Linked DNA regions of Mus musculus. The main gene of each other region encodes a partner of the protein of the gene in region 2 in a complex. Links are inferred from orthologs where the notes say so. Each region holds a gene or a part of one and is shown on either strand. Other genes may lie near its edges.

Region 1 (3,184 bases), on a different chromosome or scaffold from region 2:
GGAGGCTGGAGGGCAAAGGCACCAACCCTAAGCAAAGCCCTGAGACAGGAGGCAATGAAGACCCTTTGCATCCAAAGGGGGAACGAAGGAGGCCCAGGGACCCGGGCCAGAGGAACCAGAGGAACCCAGTCCTCACCCGCAGCCTTCTCAAGCTACGCCTGCATTTTGACTGAACTGCAAAAGCTTTTTCACACATCAGACACCATGCAAGGTTTTCGTTCCTTCGTAGTAAGCTCCCGGTCTCGAGAAATCCAAGAATTGTTGTGCAGAAAGCTAAAGCCCAAGGGTAAAGGAGAGCCCAGGTCCAGCCCGAGACCTGCACCGAGCACAAGCCCTCAGAGTGTTTGTTACCTTGAAAATGCTTCGTCCAGGCCGTCATCCAGCTCCTGGGAAACAAATGGAGAAGTAAGAACTCTGGGTGGGGTCGTGTCCCCAAGGGAGCTACAGGGACCCGGGACCTGTATGTGTGTGTGTGGTGGGGGGAGGGGGTGCCTATAGGAACTAGCACAGGCAGGCTTCCTTCATACCCAATCCATGGTCTCAAAACTGGGGCCTGGCCTGTGGACCATACATTTAATCCTAGTACTTGACAGATTTCTGAGTTTGAGGCCAAAGTTCAGAACAGCCAGGGCTATGTAGAGAGCCTCTGTCTCAAAAGTCAAAACAACCTGACAGAAAGAAAGGAAGGCAAGGCAAGGCAAGGCCAGGCCAGGCCAGGCCAGGCTGGAACCATGACAGTCACCAGGTGTCATTCCACAGTGACTCTTGGCCCAGAAGGCTAGCCAGGACCAAATGGAGCAAGGAATCCGCAGATGCTGGAGCAGGGTCCAATCGGTCCGTCAGTGCTGCTAGGATGCTAACATCTGCATTGTCTATGATGCACTGGGATAATACAGACTGAAACCGACTGAAACCCAAATGAAAACTGAAATTAAGAGCCATTCAGGTTCCTCTGGGAGATGCTGTGGAAGGCCAGTGTCCTCACTGAGGGAAAGAAAAAGCTGACACAGAGGTCAGGCGCAGGCCATGAGTCCTGAGAGCCAGCAGCAGGGCTGTGCCCTTAGACAGCTGAGAAGGGAAGATGCCAGGCACAAACCTGCCATGCCCAGAACAAGGGAGCCTTTGCTGCTCAGGGTGGGAAGGGCCACAGACTCCAAGTCAGAGTATTGTGAGGAGACGGCTGTGCTGGGGACCAGGCCTGTCAAGGACACAACCGTGGCTTCAGAGGGGACATTGTTCAGCCACTCCACCCAGAGCCTGGGTTCTTTGTGCTGGGTCTAGTCCGCCCAGAGGCCTCTAAGTCATGGTCTCAGGGCCTGGACCTGGGAACCACTCCATGCTCGTTCAGAGACCTGGCTAAAGCTCACTGGATCCCCAAACCATGCCCAGGCCACAGAGCTACTCACCCAGACGACGCTGTTGTTGCCCAAGACCTGAGGCCGTGGTGTCTCGTCCACGTTGTTGGTATTAGCGCTGACTGTAGATAACGGGGCCTTAGCCACCTCTTCCAAATCCAGCAGGTTCCCGGTAGCGACCACTAGGGGGAGTCAGTTGGGGACATTAGGAAGAAAGGAGGTACAGCCCCTCTGGCCTCTGCAAGCATTCTGGTACTCCTGCACTATACTGGTCCTGACTTGTTCTCGGACTCTGACCTTGTCCAGATGTAGGACCCTGATCACCTGGATCCCCACCCGGACCCAGTTCCACCTGGAGCTCCAGGGCAGTTGCTTGCTAGAGAGGACCTGTGGCCCCAGAGGGCAGACCTGGAACCTGCAAATTCCTAACAGGAACTGAATGCACAAAAGCACACCAAGTAGGCTGGGATGTCTACCGGGCTCTGAGGCAGACAGGAGCGCATATGCACTTGTGCGTATTCCTAGGGCACACCCAGGTACGCGCACGAGCAAGCACAGCAACCTCTTAGCTCCCGACAAGGCACTTGTGTTGCAGACTTTAACAGAACAGGAAACAGCAAGAGTCCAGGAGGGAAGGCCTGGGTAGAGGGCAAGCCTGGTGCCCAAGACTCACAGGTTTTCAGTGAGGGGGTGCTGTCCCGTCGGGTCCCTGGGACGTCTCCTCCTTCCTGGTTGGCTTTCTCCCTTTTCTCTTTCTCTGTGGGATCAAGGCATGAGCTGCTGAGCCCTTAAAGCAGACACCACCGTCTCCAATTAGCCACTGGGGAGGAGGCAGGCTGAGTATGCTCAGAGGCAGGCGGAGGTCGCCATCAAAGAGGAGCAACACCTTCCAGGGTTCCCTTAAACCCAAACACTCTAAAGGAGGGGGAAGACGGCCTTTGTCCAGATGGGGAAACTGAGGCTTAGAGAAGTAACAGGACCTGTTCAGAACCACAAACCCAGGACGAGATGAGGGTGGGGTCAGCCTGGGTCTGACGCCTGCCTGGAACCTGTCCCTTCCCACATCACTCACAGTGCCCGGGGGGGGAAGACTCACCTTCCTTGGACACCTGCCAAAACTCAAAGGCAACTTTGAAGGCTTGGGCTACAGTCAGGGTGACGGCTTGGGCCTGAAAAACAGGAAATGGGGGTGGGGATGGGTGCAGTGTCAGCCAGCAAAAGCAAGTATGAACTGGAGGGCTGAGGGGGTGCCCACCCCATGCCAAGCTCCGAAAGGCTGAGGGAAGGGGGCAGGGGCCTAGCTCTCTCATTTCCCACAAACAGCCTAGGGCATAATGAAGCCACAGCCTGGAGAGGCAGCTGAAACCTACTGAAGCACTTCCTGTCCAGTCCCTCCAACAATGGCTGCTCACCACCTGCCTCTTCAGGCATACCTAAACCAACTGTGAGGGCTACTTCTTCTGGGAAGTCCTCCTGGGTTATCTGAGGATTCCCTACACTCACAGAACTCTTGGACCAGGTAGCAGAAGACAGGAGGCGAAGAGCCTAACCATACTTGAATGAACTACTAATGAATAGTGGAAGTCCCACTATTCAGGGTTACAGGGCATTTGGGGGTGCCAGCCGCTGAAAACTGACACCCCCCCCCCCAGCAAAGTAGGAGGTAGCACAATCGAGATGCTGGCAAGGGTTAGGAACAAAAGCCATCTAGCACATGACCAGCCTATGAGCGGGTGCCTTGGCGCCACCTCTGTCACCAACACAGGGCTTTACAGACCTGCCCACCTCCCTCTGGAATCTGCTGGTGGAAGTGTCTCTATCTCATAGGC
Region 2 (3,638 bases):
CTGTGGTATAAGAAAATACCATTATCTTGTGTTTAAAAATCAACCTTTCTTATAACTACGTATTCACCTTGCTGAATCTATACGTCCTTTACTAACATAACTTAAAATTTTATTTTTATTACTGAAGACTGAACCTAGGATCCAACACATACCAGGCAAACTCTTTCCTATGAGCAGTATTCTCAGCCTACTGCTCTCCTCTTGTTTAAAGCAGGGTCTTGCTAGGTTGCAAGGGTTGGCTTGAGCTTGTCCATGTCCTGTCTTGGCCTCCTGAATAGCTGAGATTATAGGCCCATGCCATCAGATCTAGCTGGCTAATGTGATTTTCAACATTAGACTGAAACAGAATATATTAATGTGGATAACTAGTATACTAGGCCAAGTATCTGCCCTATTCCTACTTATTAAACCAGACTCTGACTATTTTCTTGAAATTAAACTGTCATAACCCCTTATTTACACAAGTTTTACACATTTCTCTATTGATCTTTTTTTTTTCCTTAACCTGTAACAAAACAGTTTAGAAACTTGATCCTTCACTTTTGGAGGGAGTTGAGTAAAAGGTGGTGGTCCTCTTTCTAAAAATAACACTTCTCAAGACAAAACAAAAAAAAAATCTCACAAAAACCCAAATCCTGCACTAATTCTGGACTGCAGGTCTCAGAATCAAAGTATTTTGTTTTATGAACTAAGAGCCCCAGTAAAAACTTTGTGATGTAAATGATCCCTGTGGGAGCAGCCCCAGTGTGTCAGCAGAGGCCAGGGGAGTAACTTATTGAATGCACTCTGCTGCTCCCACAAGGCAGTGGGGCCCCATGCTGAGCAAACAGCATGGCGGCTGGAAAAGTTATTCTGAGAGGAGGAAGGACACAATCATTGGTCTGCATGGAGCGAGTGTATCAAGACACCTAGGGATAAATAGGCTTCCTGTGTAATGGTAACTCTGACACAACAAACAATCTTATGTGTTTGATGTAGTCTATGCCAAGTATATACTTAAGCTAAGCCTCATTTCTACAAAAATAATGAACAGCTGCTATGGTGGCTCATGCCTGTAATCCCAGCACATGGGGCCAACTTAAAACTCCATTCCCATATTTAAACGAGAAGTTTTAGTGTCTGTTTGATACCCACTATGTATCTCTGACTTCATTAAAAAAAAATCTACTATGACCAGTTATATATGGAATAATAATTCTTACCGAGTCAATTTCAAAGTGCCTTACTTATACGTTTCCCAAATGATCTGAGAAAGAAGATTACATGAATTTTGACATACTTGTTGGGGTATTTTCGGAAGATGTCCCTGATGACAACAATTGCCTCTTGGACCACATAATTTACTTTGGTCTGGATTAGATCAAGCAGTGTGCTTACACAGCGTTCTGCTGATTGCTAGGGAAAGAAACATCAACACTTAAGTTAATCCAATAACACTATCTCAACACAGAAAAGGAAACATACAAGTACACTGCCTGAGTCAGACAGGCACTGACTCTGCTAAAGCTACTAGAGGCTAAATGATACAATGTATATCAGCATTAACAATTCTAGGAATATACCAGATTTTATTCATTAGCAAACACATTGAAAACAGTTTTGGGTTTGGTTTTGTGTGTTTTGCTAGGAGCAAACCTCGGGCCTCCCACTGGCTAGTCAAGAGCTCTGCACTGAGCAAGCGATCTCTATCTTCCACATAACTCTGTTAAACGAGTGAACAGTAACCTGGACAATGGGGAAAACATTAAGAAAACCAAACAAACAAAAGCCAGGAGAGTAGAAGGAAAGGAAGGTAACTGAAGAACACATCAACACTGGGGATCCTTACTGGAATTCTTAAGTGAACAGACACTGAATAGGGTGTTTTTGGTGTTTCTTTACTGGCCTCTCCCTTCCTCCCACCCTCCCCTCTCCTTTCCTTCCCTCTCCTTTTCTTCCTTCCCTCTCTCCCTCTCTCTCTAGGAAGTAGGTAGGGGGTGTGTATGTGTGCGTGCTCTCTCTCTCTCTCTCTCTCTCTCTCTCTCTCTCTGATGTGGTTTCTGAAAACTGGGCTCTGGTTCTCATGACAGATCAGCAAATACTCTTAACCATTGAGCCATCTCTCTGGCCTCCAGCACAGCGTGTATCTAAACCTAGGAATTTTGTTTGGACTTACAATTTTTTTTTCATTTATCTATGGCTCAAAATATTCTAAGAGATTTTGTTTATTGTTTTTTGTTTTTTGTTGTTGTTGTTGTTTTTAGACAGGGCTTTTCTTTTTCTTTTCTTTTCTTTCTTTCTTTTTTTTTTTTTTTAAGACAGGGTTTCTCTATTTAGCCCTGGCTGTCCTAGAACTCACTTTGTAGACCAGGCTGGCCTCGAACTCAAAAATCTGCCTGCCTCTGCCTCCCAAGTGCTGGGATTAAAGGCGTGCGCCACCACACCCGGCTCTAGACAGGGCTTTTCTGTAAAGTCCTGGCTGCCCTAGAACTTTCTCTGTAGACCAACCAGGCTGACTTTGAACTCTGAGATCTGCCTGCCTCTTGCTCCCAAGTGCTGGGATTAAAGGCATGTGCCACCACATCTGGCTCCCATTCATCTTTTATTAATTGAATATATACTACAAACTGATAAAATAGATTTCTTGATACTGTGATTTTTTTTTTTTTTTAAGGATAGGATTGTGAGAAAAGTTCCCAAAACTTAATGGCAAGTCTGAACAATTATCCCTCTGAACTATTACAGGTCATTAAATTGTGTGCCTCTTGTCACAATTCAAAAGGAACCACACAACATCATCTAAAACTTTTGACTGTCACAAGCCTCCAGATTTAGTCATCTAAAGGGGACAGAGGTATGAGGTCCAATCTAGACTCTGGGAAAGTCTATTAAGTCTAAAAAGCAATCAATAAGTGGTACTGTATTAGGGCCAGCCAGATGGATCATCAGATAAACGCACTAGCCACCAGGCCTAATGACCTGAGACTGATCTCCAGGAGCCTCATGGTGGAAGGAGAGAATCAATTCCTACAAACTGTCCTCTGACCTCCACATATGGACCTTGGCTCATGCTGCCGCCTTGAACAATAAATATATAAAATAATAAATAAATAGGTAGCATCAAAAAAAAATGAAAATCAAAACAAAATACAATACCTAAGAACACATATTAACCAAAAGCTATGTACAGAAAAGAAAACAAAATAAAAGCCAGGCGTAGAGGCTCATGTCTGGAATCCCACATTTGGGAGACTGAGGCCCAGGGAATGTGAGTTTAGGGCTAGCCTGGGCTATATAGTAAGACTCTGTCTTAAAAAGTAAAACCAATGAGCACCCCAAAATGCTTGGGGGGCAGGGGGTATGCTGAAAAGATAAAAATCTATAACTAAGAAATCAATAAATAATAACAAAATTATTTATGGATATGGAAGTATCAAAATAATCTAATACAAAAGAGTTAAAAGCCATCCTTTTGGCAAGTGGATCTAGGTAAAGAAGGGAAGGAAGCAGGGGCAGTGATGTTTTGTTAAAAATTCTTTAATCTGAGCCTGAGAAGGCTTAGGGATTAAGAGCGATGGCTGCTCTTCCAGAGGACATGGATTAGAGTCCCAGCACCCACATGGTGGTCCATAATCTACCATCTGAATTCTAGTTCCAGG

Evidence for each region. Proteins that work in one complex are often made in the same cells at the same time.
Region 1: the proteins of Ap2b1 (region 2) and Ldlrap1 are in contact, whole or in part, in a crystal structure (PDB 2G30), measured with the Homo sapiens proteins. The link is inferred for Mus musculus from reciprocal best matches to the Homo sapiens genes AP2B1 and LDLRAP1. Residues at the interface, in NP_001273.1 of Homo sapiens: Arg834, Gln835, Phe837, Leu838, Trp841, Glu849, Gln851, Ile876, Ala877, Arg879, Val881, Glu882, Gln884, Met886, Tyr888, Glu902, Arg904, Ser915; in NP_056442.2 of Homo sapiens: Asp253, Leu255, Asp256, Ala258, Phe259, Ser260, Leu262, Ala263, Gln264, Arg266, Thr267.

Annotation. Positions count from the first base shown.
Region 1 is NC_000070.6:134,747,931-134,751,114, forward strand, and holds part of Ldlrap1 (low density lipoprotein receptor adapter protein 1), read right to left. Parts: intron 2,525-3,184; coding exon 2,452-2,524; intron 2,113-2,451; coding exon 2,029-2,112; intron 1,538-2,028; coding exon 1,407-1,537; intron 387-1,406; coding exon 352-386; intron 1-351. UniProt on the Homo sapiens protein: Adapter protein (clathrin-associated sorting protein (CLASP)) required for efficient endocytosis of the LDL receptor (LDLR) in polarized cells such as hepatocytes and lymphocytes, but not in non-polarized cells (fibroblasts).
Region 2 is NC_000077.6:83,337,070-83,340,707, reverse strand, and holds part of Ap2b1 (AP-2 complex subunit beta), read right to left. Parts: intron 1,396-3,638; coding exon 1,280-1,395; intron 1-1,279. UniProt on the Homo sapiens protein: Component of the adaptor protein complex 2 (AP-2). Adaptor protein complexes function in protein transport via transport vesicles in different membrane traffic pathways.